2 linked regions of the Caenorhabditis elegans genome follow. The protein of the gene in region 2 interacts with the protein of the main gene of each other region in a pairwise test. Each region holds a gene or a part of one and is shown on either strand. Other genes may lie near its edges.

Evidence for each region.
Region 1: the proteins of npp-20 (region 2) and sec-16A.1 interact in a two-hybrid assay, tested with the Caenorhabditis elegans proteins (2 studies listed by BioGRID).

What each region holds. Positions count from the first base shown.
Region 1 is NC_003281.10:9,123,999-9,131,315, reverse strand, and holds sec-16A.1 (Protein transport protein sec-16A.1), read right to left. Parts: upstream 5,478-7,317; coding exon 5,463-5,477; intron 5,090-5,462; coding exon 5,050-5,089; intron 4,996-5,049; coding exon 4,896-4,995; intron 4,837-4,895; coding exon 4,669-4,836; intron 4,624-4,668; coding exon 4,029-4,623; intron 3,983-4,028; coding exon 3,870-3,982; intron 3,825-3,869; coding exon 3,386-3,824; intron 3,337-3,385; coding exon 3,181-3,336; intron 3,136-3,180; coding exon 2,860-3,135; intron 2,814-2,859; coding exon 2,608-2,813; intron 2,561-2,607; coding exon 1,489-2,560; intron 1,434-1,488; coding exon 1,284-1,433; intron 1,232-1,283; coding exon 946-1,231; intron 897-945; coding exon 814-896; 3' UTR 509-813; downstream 1-508. Other genes in the region: ZK512.10 (DUF4752 family protein), read right to left, coding at 8-58, 111-223, 271-361, 408-422; Protein ced-11, read right to left, coding at 6,264-6,548, 6,597-7,163, 7,213-7,317. UniProt on the Caenorhabditis elegans protein: Plays a role in the organization of the endoplasmic reticulum exit sites (ERES), also known as transitional endoplasmic reticulum (tER).
Region 2 is NC_003282.8:1,489,936-1,497,881, reverse strand, and holds npp-20 (Protein SEC13 homolog), read left to right. Parts: upstream 1-1,859; 5' UTR 1,860-1,874; coding exon 1,875-1,922; intron 1,923-1,991; coding exon 1,992-2,066; intron 2,067-2,155; coding exon 2,156-2,277; intron 2,278-2,937; coding exon 2,938-3,252; intron 3,253-5,567; coding exon 5,568-5,838; intron 5,839-6,933; coding exon 6,934-7,044; 3' UTR 7,045-7,229; downstream 7,230-7,946.

The sequences.
Region 1 (7,317 bases), on a different chromosome or scaffold from region 2:
CGATCCATCAGTGAGCTACTTCAATCCCATCTCCCATTTCGAACGTAATTGGTGATCTCTGAAATTTTGGAAATATACACATTTATTCAATTAGTCTCAATAAAACTCACGACGCTACTCTTTCTATAGCTTCTAACACTATTTTTATCAGTACGAATACCGTAGTGATCAGCGACCGAAGGTGAATGTTTCGCTGCTCCATTCACTGCGATAGATGCTCCTTCTGAAAATCTTTTTTCTGGAAACTGCCTGAAAATAATTGTGACCTACTGGCTACGGTATCCCACCAAGTAGTCATTCTGAGCGAGTTGTAGAGAGAAAAACCGACGAGAAGAAGCTCGAAGAGCACTGAGTACCAAGACTTTAAATATTCGAACATCAATCAGAAATATTAAGAGAAAACTCACGTCCAGTTGATACATTTTCGAATTTGCGAAATAATGGTATTCGATTAGTTTTTTGTTTTGTTTTTAATTCGATTTCAAATGTAAAATTCAAATAGTGATTTCACGGTACATTATATTTATTCATTTCAGTATATATTTATTTACCAGAGAATCAATTCAGAGCACATATTTTCTCGTCAGAACAAAGAAAAACTAGCCTACTTATTTTTCAGATAAAACCGTAACATATATAGTTGCACAACAAAAAAGAAGGAAGATACTATGGAATAATCACAGAAGTTTTTAGAGGAAACGGGCCTGACCAGATAACAGGAAATGGTTATTTGAAAGAATGATAGTGGGTGGGAGGGGGATACAAAAGGCGATGGGGACGACAACACATATAATTTGGAAGAATTGAAGCATATTAATCGTTATTCTGTTTGGATAATGATTCGGAAGGAGCCGTTGGTTCACCGCTGAATGGATCAACATATTCGGAGGAATCATCTGAAAATGAAATTAATTGAAGAAAAAACTAATTCTCAATTAATTATACCTTCAGTGGGTGCAGGCATAAAGCTGAATGACATTGGCATGGTTGGAGGCATCATCGGTGGCATTCCAGTGTCCATAGCTGGTGCTTGGCTAGTGGCCATTCCCGATTGAAGATATCGTGATCCAACTCCACTTCTAGCACTTCGCAGACTATTCGTGCTCGATTTGTTAGAATCAGGACCTCCACCCATCAAATGAGGAGCTGACATGACTGGCGGTGGAGCAGCTACGACCTCTTCTTCTACTCCAGCACCAACATATCTTTTCTGAACAGGATCCCAAACGATCTGAACAAATGAATATTTGATATTCAAAAAATCGGCTTTCAAATTAACATACACTTGGCTTTGAATCGTCAGGCAGGATCATTTGGTTTGCTGATGGAATCGATTTGATGACTTTTTCCTTAATCGATCCGAACCATCCTTTAGATGCTTTTCGTTCATTCAATGCAAGTTCAGGTTGTTTCTGTGGGACAGGCGGCGCAGTCTTTAATAATTAAAAATAATTACTTGTCATTCTGAAGGTTTCACAGAAAACTCACAGTTTTAGCATTTGGAATAGATGCTTGTCCTAGTGTTGCTTGTTGAAGAACCGGAGCAGAAGAAACGGCTGGTGGTGGTGTTGGTACACTTGGAGCTGTTGGGTTTGCAAAGTTAGGTGCAGGCGAATAAGATGGTTGAATATTTCGCGGTGCAGGTGGATATGAAGTTTGATTGCTTGGCGGTGAAGTGTCCCATAAATCATCCAGTTCCGAACGAGGACTTTTTGCAATGCTGGCGTCAACAGGTTTCGGAATAGGAATAGGTTGAGGTGATACCATGATTGGAGTACTGACAGGTGGAATAGGCATCGATAACGTTGGCATCGGTGGCTTCACAATCGCTGGAGGCGTCATCTCAGGAACAACATTTTTAGAAATTGGTGGTGGTGTTGAGATTGGTTTTTCGATAGTTTTTGGAAGGGATGGTGGTGGTGGTAAAGTGGATGAGGTCAACGTTGAAGTTCTTGATGCTGACGCAGCGACAGTAACCGAAGAATCGGATTTATCTGTAAATGTCGATTCAGATGACGATTCAGTAACCAGGGTAGGTGGAGGCAAAGAAGCACGTCCGGGTGCAATTGGTTTCTCGACAGTTTTATCGTTATGTTGTTGATCGTTACGTGATCCAATCTCCAGCGGCGCTTGATGCTCATCATGCCATTTTTTAGCTTCAGACGAAATAGATTTGTTTTCCACTGGTTGTGGCTGTGGAACATGTTGTTGAGATTCTTGAACTGGAGCTGCACCTAGCATTCCTCTCATAGTTGTAATCCAACCACTTTCATCAGGAGTTGCGGCAGCCATGTATTGAAGACTCTCAGCCAGATCGCAAAGATCAAACATTGCATTTTTATCGAAAGCTGCGACATACATCCACAACGATCTTGCTACTTCTGTACAATATCTGAACGCATCCGTAGCAAATCCACCAAAAGACGACAGCTTCTTTGCGTATTCAATACGAGCTAACTGATAATCAATCGATTTTGCTAGTGGTGAATCGACATTGTTATTTCCCAGTCGGAGAGCATAATCAAAAATATCAGTAGCATGAAGATCAGTGAATGAGAATCTGAAAAGCATGTTTTATGTTATGCATATTGTGTTAAGTAATCTTACCCAGCGGTTCCTGATAGTCCATCAACTCGATTCAACAAGTTAGATCCACTATGCACAAGGCCGATGTGCTTTCTCGAAGTTTCATCTCCGTCGTGAGCCACTGGAATAAATGGATCATAACCAGCCAGAATGCATACAACAAGGAGACAGAAATCAGCAGCACAGTTTCGTTCTCTTTTTGCTAGGAGCAAGCCGAGATGATAGATCTGAAAAAAATTTTACAGTTTTAGTTTTGCTTTTCTCCTGCCGTACCGTTTGCATAGCGGTCTGCGAGTTTAGATTCGCAAGAACAATGGCCGCATGTCGTTTCCAATTGTTGTCATCATCGAACGCCGAATTCGTCAGAATCGGAGGTGGTTGATCACTTGAAACTGCAACCAGTGTTGCGAATGGATCGTCAATGGAACGAAGATTCATAAATCGTGCCTCGATTTCCTCAATTTTCTTAGCGTCATTTGGATGCAGTCTACGGATCAATGTCATTGCGTCGGCATAGAGTCCATCGGTTATAGCACTTTCAACAGCTTCCTGAAAAATTATAATTATTTAATTAACAAGATTAGACAAAATTACATTAATGTGACCACCAAGAAGATACTTATTGAACCGCTCCTTTGCTTCGAACTTCGAACCAGACTCGGATGTCCCATTGCTTGAAATTCCAGTTTTTTCACCAAGTTCTTCCGAGGCATTTGTCAGCAGTGTTGCTACATCGGGTCCGGTGACTCTCTTAAAATGTTAAATTCCTACTAAGTTCTCAAATTAAAACAATTCTTACTCCATGTTGCTGAACCATGATTTCGAGCAATTGCCAGACGAGAAGAGCATCCACCACCTCACTTTTCTTTACGTCACCAGCATTTCTGATCTGGCGAAGAGCGTCGATTTGTCGTTGGATGTAGAGACGAACGGAATGAGTTGGAGTTTGTCCAGCAATCAGTGGTCCTTTAAAGTTCTGAACTGATTCGATCACTTTTCCAGATTGTTCATCGAAATGAAGAAATGTTTTCAGATCATCCACATGAACGCTGGATGTACTTAGAACATGTCCAGTGATACTATCGATGGTTCCCGCTGGTTTAATGATCACCAATTTTCCTCCAACACCAATGGTAGCAAACTGAAGGCAGGAGTGATAATGAAGTGGTCCGTTGCTCAACACTTCTTCGGGTTGCGAGATGTTAAGTTTTGGCTCTTCGCGTTCCTCGATTTTATGCCTATAATAATATTTTTGCTCATTGTACCGTTGGTTCCATACTCACTGATTGAAATCCAGTTTCTCGCTCTCTGCAGCTTCTTGTCGTGCTTTTTCGTACGCCAATCTGTCGGCTTCCAGTTGCTTCAGGGAGAATTCTTCTTGCATCCGCTTGCAAACCTGTAATTTAAAATATGAAGCAATTCAATTTTGTCAGTAATCTTACCTTAAAAAGTGCCAGATCTTTAGAATCACCATACCCGCGGTAGGAGTAGAATTCACGATTAAAAATTACGTGAAACTCATCAATATTGTTGTAAGGTTTGTTATTAACGGCACAGTAGAATACATAAGCGACACGGTCGATTGGCGGCATCTTATAGTATTTTTCCGGAGGAGGCATCGTTCGGAACACATGATCAACAATAGCAGAGCCAAGTTTCACAACTCCGTAGTAATAGCTTTCACTTTCGCTATTATAAACTTCAGAGGCAAGGGTATTTGTTACACTCCTGGAGCCTTGTGCTCGTCCTTCCATATAAAAATTTCGTACTTCTTCCTCTTCTTCGTCTTCTTCCAGCTCTTCTGAAGTCTTATCAGACTCTCCACTATCATATACAAAACCATTTCTCATTGAAGATGCGTTCGCATATCTTTCAGCAGCAGTTGATCGTGGTCTCACAGGCTCACGGTGGTTGTTCGGCAGCAATCCCACACCAGCACGACTATTCGCGTAATCACTCGCATATCCAGATGCATTTCGAGCTGAAGGAGCACCAGAGAAACCTTCGCTTGGGCCACGTGAAGAGTTTTGGTGATATCTGCAAATTTCCATAATTAGAAGAAGAAACTCCCTTGTTTTAAACCTTGAATAAGTACGGTCATATCCATTGAAAGTTGAGTTGAGGCCTCTTGAACCATTACTCATTCCAGTACCCTGCCGGTTACTCTTTTGAGATACTGGGCGAGCTGGTTGAATAAGAATGGGTCTTCTTGGTTGTGGAATATCGTTGTCCAGCCGACTGCGTCGAGGCCTGAAAAAAAAGCGATGAAAAGATATCGATCGGCGTGTGAAATTCTTGTATTCACTGACCTTGAATGGTTAACGGATGAAGCGTCATCATCGCCTCCTCTAGAAGACGGAGGTGAAGCATTGTAAGGATTATTCCAGTCACTCATATCGAAACCAGAAGCTGAAAATGAATAGTGATTGATAAAAATTGTTGATAAATCGAATTTTATCATACCTCCGGCATTCATTCGTTGTTCATACTTCATAGAATCGATCTGTAATAAATTAGGCGAATATACAAGTTAAGTGTCGAGATGTTAAAGTCTGTTGGGTAAATATAGAGAGGCAGAAGACAAGGGAAGAAAAGAAAAGAAGGGGCAAATTGAGGTCAACCGTGTCACTTTAGTGCCAACACGGCGACGCAAAAATGCACGGAAAGGGCTGCTGTGGGGAATATGGGAAAATGGGAAAATTGAAAACAAGAATAGTTCAGTTTTCCTTTGTTGGAAGTGATACGAACAGGTGAAAGTGAATGGGAAAATGATATGAATTTTGTTTTTTATTCTTCCAAATGGTAAAATAAATTCGGTTTTTACTTGTTTTCTTAATGGCCTTAAGATTTAAAATTACAATTTTGGGAAATCTTACCCTGTATCGCCGCATTTTCCATTCGAAATCCATAAAAATCGTGGGTTTTTGGGAATTTCCAATTTAAAGTTCAATTCAAAACGCCGCACGGATGTGTTAAAAGCGCGGTGCCACGTGAAGCCAAGCTTAAAAATAAAATAAGACAAAAAGTTCACGCGAGAAATGAATAAACGCGAAAAAAGTTCGAGGTTGAATGAAAAAAATAACTGATAGAAAAACTGTCGTCAGTTTCGGTGCTTGCGGAGTGAACATTGTGTACCGTAGCCACAAAATCGTAAAATCGAAAGCAAGGATTTATTTATTTGTTAACAGAAACAAAGTTGTTTAATAAATACGAAGATTTGTTTTTTCACGAAAAGAACTTATTTTGCTAAGGTATCTTTTATCTCCGTGTCACACCTAAACGGACCAAAAATAACGGGAAAAACAAGGAAGATGACGATAATTAATTAATGAATATACATAATAATTGTGTTAAATTAAAGGAAATAATATTAAGTAATAAAGTGGCGACAAGGAGAAGTATTCTTGGTTCTCCGCATTCGCGACAGTTCTTACAGTTTTACTGCACAACACTCCGCAAACCTAACCAACAATCGCTCTACAATATTTAGAAAAATTTGTTTCAAAACTGCTACAGTACCCCTACATTTTTTGTTAGGCCTCTCATTATATGTGTTTTGGTGAGTGCTTTATTTTTATTCTTCCAAGCTTTATTAAATTATCTCTTAGCTATCAGCTTTAAAAAACAAACATCGAATAACAATTTAAGTGAATTCATAATTTATGAAAGTTGTAGCATTATAACCCGTATATTGTCTTTGCTCGGAAAACAAGATCTGCTTGCCATGGAAGCACTGTTCCACGAATTGCACTCGTAGGAAGCCACGAATAACCGATAATTGTGGTTATTATACGTCGTTCTCGGAGAGAAATAGCCCAAACATCATGCTCCGTCCACGCGTTGTCTGTATCGTTTTCATTTTCTGCAACTTCTGAAGCCAAATGAGCAGGACTCGTGTCATTGGATGGTATTCTTTTGTCCGCAGTGATAATTGAGCTATCCAAACGTCGCATTGAAAACATCTGAAAATACATCACAAATTTTTAAAAGTAATCTTTTTGGTTACTTACATGAGCGTCAGAATCTGAAATTCCAATCATCTTCAAAATAGATGTCAGATGTTCATCTTTCGACGAGTTCTCCAGATGCCATTCATTTGGAATATTCTTCTGACTATCAACTAGAACTTGACATTTCGCTTCAACTCCACCACTCAAAACGACATAATAACAACGTCGATTAGCACCAAATCTCGGATGATTTCCTCTTCCAGCCATTCCAGTTCGACCATTCGGATTCAATGGGAAGCCGGCAGCTGAGAGCTTCCAACATTTATCATTACTACTAGTAACATCATTTGCCTGACGGCTTCTCCAAATTCGTTTTAGTTCTCCAACATTTTGCTCCGTGGCAATATCAACATACTTTTGCACATCTGATGGAAAATCTTCCGCAGGCTTACAATAGAAGGGGGGATTGTATCTAGGTACAAGCACTGTCCATGGCTTAGACACCATGTTCACACTAATCTTCAGAATGTTACTTTCTGGGTATTTCTCGAAAAATTGAAGTTCTGAAGCTTTTCGTGTACCCGAATTTTCATATGAATCTCGCAAAGTCATCATTCGAATGTGGTTCTGAAATTATTTTCAGTTTTAAACTTGTGTTTAAAAAAATAAATCTTACATGAATATTATGAAGTTCCTGAAGTTCTGATTTGTTTGCTGATATCTTCGCTTTCTGCTGTGTATTTTTCCATTGTTCCATCGAAAGCTTTCTCCAGAATGAGTT
Region 2 (7,946 bases):
AGATTTGTCGATTTTCTTCGGAAAAACTATGTACTTTAACAAATTTACAGGGATTTTTTTGGAAAATTTCTGGAATTTTCCAACTTTCTCGCAAAAAATTTAAAATTATCGATTTTTTGATAATTTATCTATCAAATCAAGTGGCAGAAAGGAGAAAAACAATAAAAAGGGCAGTCCGCACGTGCAGAATTGAAGAGAAAGAGGACCTCAGCCAGGGTGAGAGAGTGTAGAGGGTGTGGAGACGCAGACACTGAAAGAAGGGGGTTCAGAGATGTGGAGAGTGCAGAGATGTTGGTGTGATGAAGACTTGGCAGTGTGCCAAATGATATTTTTTATGGAATATGATGCAATTGTGCTCTGTTGATAATTTTTGGGGTGGCAGGATTCTTTTGGGGGAAATTATTGATTTTTTTTTTCTTTAAATTTGATTTTTCTATAAAAAAAATTGGATTTTCTATAAGAATTTAGATAAATAATAGTTTTCTTATATTTGCTTTAATGATTTTTCGGCACAAATAACAGATTTTTTCAAAAAAAAATTTTTTTTTACTTTTTGGGGATTTTTATCGGAAATTTGAAAAAAACTGAAACTTACGATTTTGATGCTTCTTGAAACTATTATTTTTCGAAACTTTTTTCAAAAAAATTCTGGAAATTATTGATTTTTGTCCTAAAAATTTTTAAAACCCCGAAATTCTATCGAAAAATAATTCAACATTTTTAGATTTTGCGTGAAAACTCTGTTAGAATATCGACTTTTCTGTCAATTTTCAATTTTTTTCCGCAAAAACTGCCAGAATTTCCTCAAATAGTTCATTTTCGATTGAATTTCCAAATTAATCCGAAAAATCGATAATTTTTTGATTTTTAACTGGATTTTTCGATAGAAACGTTAACTTTGCTGACTTTCTAAAATTTTTACAAAAAAAAACATTTTAAAAAACGTTGGAAAACACATAAAATTCGAGTTTTTCGGCTGGAAATTGGGGAAAACACAAAAAAAAACAAAATGTTCTACAGTAACCTTGAAACTGCGCGTCGGGTTAGATGCATTGATACGCAATTGCGTACAATGCATTTTACTTGCCGCGCACACTTTTTGGAATTATTTTCAGCAAAAATTGCAATTTTTCAAGTATTTCAGCGAAGAAATTGAAAAAAATAAGATAATTGCAAAAATACAAGCGGGTTTTAAAGTTTTCTTTTTAAAAATCTCAAGTTTCTCAATAAAAATATAGAAAACATGTTTTAAAACAGGAATAAGCGAAAAACTATTATAATTTATTGATTTTCGCCTCCAAATCACGCTAGAAAATCAAACTGATGATCATGACAGAAAGAAATGATCGTAAAAATTGCGCTGACGACGTCACGCGACCCGCAATAAGACACACGGAGGCTAAGCACAAAATATAATGTGTTTTTTTTTCATTTGAATCTTTTTTTCAGACTTCAAAGTACGGCGTGTTGATATTGATGATCAGAAGAAAAAATCAAAACAGAAGAAAAAACAAGGACAATATAATTAAGAAAGTTGTTTTTCAGAACTTTGATCTTTTAATCTGTGTTGAAAGGTTCCCTGAGTTGTTTTTGATTTAAAATCTTAAAAAGTAGAACTAGAAATTGTTATTTTTATCAAATTATCAACAATTTCCCATTCGAATTCTCCAGGTTTCCATCAATTATTATTTTCTCGTGATTAAATCCACGTTCCTTGGCGCACGAGAAACACGCCAGCTATCGTTTGCTGGCGCGTTTCTCGTGTTGACGCGTTTCTCGATCGTTCCAACTTGCAATTTTTAAATTCAATTTTTGCCGAAATTCACTCAATTTTTAGCGATTTTTTTCGAAATTTCTAGATTTTCAGCTGAAAAATGACCACGGTCCGCCAGAGAATCGATACACAACATCGTGACGCAATTGTAAGTCGGAAAATCTGAATTTTAGCTAAGAAAATCTATTTTTTTTTTTTAAATTCTGAAAAATTGCAGCACGACGCTCAGCTCAACATCTACGGAAGCCGACTCGCCACGTGTGGATCTGACCGTCTTGTGAAGATTTTTGAGGTCAGGAAAGGCGAAAAATCTTGGATTTTCTGCAAAAATCCCAGAATTTTCATAATTTCAACGCAAAAAAAAATATAAAAATATTACAGGTTCGCCCAAATGGCCAGTCATATCCGATGGCGGAGCTTGTCGGACACAGTGGTCCCGTTTGGAAAGTCTCATGGGCTCATCCGAAATATGGAGGACTTCTTGCCTCCGCTTCCTATGATAAGTACGGAATATTTGGAAAAAAAAACGGAAAAATGATCAAAATTTGCTAGATTCGATCAGAATTTCATAAAAATACGCTAAAATCTCTGTTTTTAATCGGTTTTCAGCTCATTTTTTGGGTTTTTTGCCAAAAATTGGTTAAACAGAGTGATTTTGGAAGAAAATGGACACAAATATTGAAAAATGCAGCCTATTTCTGAAATTTCAATGAGTTTGATCATTTTTCACCGATTTTACGCTATTTTCCCTTTAAATTCACGGATTATTTAAAGAAAAATCAGTATTTTCGGTCAATTTTCACAGTTTTTTTTTGAATTTCAAGCCTAATTTCCCTCAAATCCACCAAAATTTTAAAAACTTCAACGGGTTTTATGAAATTTTTACCGATTTTCTGCAATTTTTTCCCGAATTTTAGTCGATTTCTGCCCCGATTTTTGTAATTTTTATCGATTTTATTCAATTTTCATAGTTTTTTTTTCGGAATTTTGAGCCAATTTACCCCCCAATCCAACGTTTTTTTCTGGAATTTCCATGAATTTCAGTAGTTTTTCACGGGTTTTTTGCAATTTTTAGCTCATTTTGCTCTAATTTCAGGCATTTTTCATCAATTTTCACAGATTTTCAGCCAATTTTCCCCCAAATGAATCGATTTTCTTTCCAGAAAAGTGATAATCTGGAACGAACAACAAGGCCGCTGGCAAAAAGCCTACGAATGGGCCGCTCATGAGGCCAGTACGACTTGTGTGGCCTTTGCACCACACCAATATGGCCTAATGTTGGCTTCTGCCTCTGCTGACGGTGATATCGGTATTCTTCGATACGACAATTCGAGCAACGAATGGATTTCGTCGAAAATTCAGAAATGTCATGAACAAGGAGTTAATTCAGTGTGTTGGGCACCTGGAAGTGCTGATCCGGCGGCAAAAAAACGTCTTGTTTCAGCTGGAAATGATAAAAATGTCAAGATTTGGGCTTTGTGAGTAGAGAAAATGCACTGAAAATCGATTTTTTAGATTTTTTAGATTTTTTTTGACCCGAAAAACGTGAAATTTTGACGTTTTTTCGATGGAAAATACAAAAACCGCAATTTTCTCAGGTTCTCAAAAGTCAGATTTTTTGTAAGCCTAAGCCTAAGCTTAAGCCTACGCCTACGCCTAGGCCTAAGCCTCAAATTGCCAAAACTTCTCGGAAAAAAAGTCGTAAAATTTTACTTTTTTTTCAGCAAAATTGGCAGATTTTATGAAATTTTCCCAAAAAAGTTGTATTTTTGATCCAAAATTTGTTTAAAAATCACAAATTAGTGCAGTTCTTACCGGAAATTTTTGAAAAATTCAAATTTTTCCCTCAAAATTACCTGATTTTTTGCTAAAATCACAAGAATTTCTGAGATTTTTCCCCTGAAAAAGTCAGTTTTTCTGGGATGAAAAAATTCGCAAAATAAAAATTAAATTCGGATTTTTTTTAAGGCCTAAGCCTTAGCCTAAGCCTGAATTCCAGAATTAAAAAAAATTTCCTTCTGAAAAATCAATGAAAAAATTGTTTTTTTTTCTGAAATTCTCAAAATTTACAATGTTAAAGTTAAAAATTCGACCCAATAGCGTATTTTTTCACCGAAAATTCTCAAATTTCTTAAATTTTCACCTGAAAAATCCCATTATTTTGCCAGTGACGACGCGAAAAACGAGAAAAAATGGAAATTTTTCGCCAAAGTTCCAGATTTTTCTAGAGTTTCCTTTGAAAAATCCTTTTTTTTGACAATTTTTCCGTGAAATAACCCATTTTTTCACAGTTTTCCATCAAAAAAGACTAAAAATCCGACCATTTAATAAATTTCTTTCTAAAAAATTGTAAAAGTAAAAGCGAATTCTACCCGAATTTCAGATTATCGTGTTAAATTCAAAATTTCCAGGTTTTGGATATTTTTTAACAGATATTTGTCGAATTTCCTGGATTTTCCCCCTGAAACATCCAATTTTTCGGTTTTTTGATTAAAAAAAAACTGAAAAAATCACTCAAAAAATAATTTAAACTTGAAAATTTGTCCCAAAAGCTGTTTTTTTTGCAAAAAATTCTCAAATTCCAGATTTTTCGCAGTTTCATTTCAAAAAACCCCCAAAATCGGAAATTTTTATTAATCTTTTTTGCTGAAAAATCAGAAAAAAAGTATATTCTTTCGAAATTTTTGTCGAATTTCCTGAATTTCCTCTTGAAAAATCCATTTTTTGACAATTTTTCCGCGAAATTACCCATTTTTTTACAGTGACGACGCGCTACAAACAAAATTGTTGGTGAAAATTCGAAAAAAAAAAAAAAATTTCCCCATTATAATGCAGAAATTTGGGTTCGCTTTGGAAAATCCCAATTTTGAAGCTGCCCAAAAGCTGATTTCCCACTGAATTTTGTCGAATTTATTGGGGTTTCTCACTGCAACTTTTTCCTCACGAGGGACGAGGAAAAGTGGTTTCTAGGCCATGGCCGAGGGGCCGACAAGTTTCAGCGGCCATTTATCTTGCTTTGTTTTCCGCCTGTTTTCTTTTGTTTTTCATCGATTTTTTTCGTTTTTTCTTATTAAAACTGATAAATAAATATTTTTTGCAGATGCTAAAACGATTTCCAAGTAAAAAAAAAATGTATTCAGTGGGCAAGCAGCGGTGAAAGTGGGCAATGTAAAATGATGGATTACGGGAATACAAAACCTAAACTTTTTCTGAAACATGATACATATGATGCTTAGATGCTGAAATTACCTGATTTTCATAACGAGACCGTTAAAAAAGTTTTGAGGTTTTCAAAATTCAATTTTTTGTGCGAAAATCTCGACTTTTTTACCAAAAAAGTTGAATTGTGGAAACCTCAAAACTTTTTCAGCGGACTCGTTATGAAAATCAGGTAGTCTCAGCATTTAAGCAGCATATGTATCATGTTTCAGAAAAAGTTTAGGTTTTGTATTCCCGTAATCCATCATTTTACATTGCCCACTTTCACCGCTGCTTGCCCACTGGATACATAATTTTTTAACTTGGAAATTGTTTTAGCATCTGCAAAAAATATTTATTTATCAGTTTTAATAAGAAAAAACGGGAAAAAGCTGTGAAAAACAAAAGAAAACACGCGGAAAACAAAGCAAGATAAATGGCCGCTGAAACTTGTCGGCCCCTCGGCCATGGCCTAGAAACCACTTTTCCTCGTCCCTCGTGAGGAAAAAGTTGCAGTGTTATTGGGGTTTCCTAAGAAAAATTCATTTTCTTAATGACAATTTTCCTTCGAAATCACCAATATTTTTTCCTCCAGTGACGACGCTACAAACGAATGGATTCTCGAGAAAACCCTAGCCGGACACACAGATTTTGTACGTGAAGCCGCATGGTGCCCGGTAACAAATAATGGACAACATACAATTGTTAGCTGTGGAATGGAGGGAAATTTGGTACTTTTCCGTACTTCAAATATTGAAACTGAAGAGTGGAAGGCGAAATTATTGGAGACGGCTCCGTGTGCATTGTACCATTCATCATTTTCTCCGTGTGGATCATTCCTTTCAGTTGCTGGCGATGATAATGTGGTATGGAATCGAGGATTTTTGTGTGGAATAATGTGGAAATTGGCACCGAAATTGGGAAAATTATGGATTTTTTACGTCAAAAATGGCACAATTTTTGAAAAAAAAAAGTGTACAAAAACAGCGAAAATCATCGCTTCAAAAACGGAAAATTGTCACATTTTTAGCAAAAATCGCTGAAATTTTGGATTTTTTAGCTCAAAATTATGATTTTTCGAGCAAAACCTAGAAAATTCGAAAAAATTTGGAAAAAATAGCGAAAAAAAAAAGCATTTTGGCATTAAAAAAAACGGAAAAAAATCTTACCTACCTCTAGCCGCAGTAGGCATGAGGCAGGTGGCAGGTTTTTGTGAGGAAAATTTTGATTTTTTTTTTTTTTTTTTTTTTGGTTTTAATACAACTTCTATCTTTTTTGCCCGGTTTTTCGTAATTTTAGGAAGAATTTTTCAGAATTTTCGTTGAAATTCGATTTTTTCAGGTGATTTTGATCGAAAAATGCTAAAAATATTAATTTTCGAGCAAAACCTGGAAAATTCAAAATTTTGGAAAAAAAAATCTATTGAGAACTGGCAAAAAAGTGGGAAAACAAAAAATTTTTTTTACCGGAAAATTGGCCAAAATCACTTCAAAATCAATTTTTTTTACATAAAAACCGGCGAATTTCGGTTGAAAAGTATCGATTTTTGAGCAGCACATGAAAATTTCAATTTTTATGAAAAATTTGAGAAAAAGCTACCGAAAACTTGCAAAAAAAGCATTTTGGCACGAAAAATCTGAATAAATGGAAAAAAAATACTCAAAAATTCAGAATTTGCAGTAATTTTACTGAAAATGGCGAAAAATTCGAATTTTCCGATCAAATCACCGGAATTAATTGAATTTCAACGAAAATTCTGAAAAATTCGACCTAGAATTACGAAAAACCAGACGAAATGTTCCCGCCTGCCTAATGCCTACACGTGTGCCTACCGTGCCTACAGGTAGGTAGGCAAATCTTCTTAAAAAAGTGCCGTTTCTACAAAAAAAAGCATATGATAAGCTCTGTTTGCAGGCAGGCAGGCACCTACGCCTAAAAACGCTCATTTTCCAATTTTGCAGATCACAATTTGGCGCGAAAATCTTCAGGGACAATGGATCAAAGTGCCACGTGACAATAAGGAACGCGAGGGAATGAGCCAAGCGGTCGGAGCTCCGGGAGCTCAGAGATAAATAAATTATTTATTTTTTTTCGCTGTTTCTACACCCATAATTCCTCTTAAAACTTGTATATGTACCTGTTATTATTGATTTTTTTCCTCATTTACTTCTCCGAATCCAGATATTTTATGATTTTCCTTCTTTTTCTCTCTCAAAAAACTAATGCGAAACCGGGATGAAGTTTTATTTATTTATTGATTTTTTTCGACTAAATTCAGATTTTCTCTTATTTTTGAAAAATTGGTCGCAGTAGCGCAGTCGGTTACGGGCTGGGCTGGGACGCAGAAGACCGGGGTTCGACTCCGCGTGGTGGGAATTTTCTTTATCTTAGCGTGATTGATACTGTTAACAAGCTGAAACTGAGTATAACCTGCTGGAAACTAGTGAAACTTGAAAAAAATCAGTTTTTTTTCGGAAAAATGCGGAACAGTTTTTGAAAACATGATTTTTACAAATTTCCATGCACATGTTCAAATTTCTCGCACAATTTTCGTTTATTTGACACCAATATTGGCTCATTTCCGAGGATTTTTCGAAAAATTGGTTGCAGTAGCGCAGGCGGCAACGGGCTGGGCTGGGACGCAGAAGACCGGGGTTCGACCCCGCGTGCTGGGAATAATTTTTTTCTTGGTTGATACTATTATCTAGCGGAAGTTGACCGAAATTTGTTAGAAATTAGAAATAATCTCGAATAGTTTGGGTTTTGTGTCATTTTTTTGCGGAAAAATGTCCAAAAAGTAAATGAAAATGTGATTTTCATGAATTTTCATTCAAATTTTTGAATTTCTCGCTTAATTTTTAGATAATTTGATGCCAATATCGGGTCATTTTTGAAAAATGGGACGTGGTGGCTCAACTGGGTAGAGGTCTCGGTGAGACTGAGAAGACCGGGGTTCGACCCACGGGGGCGGTTT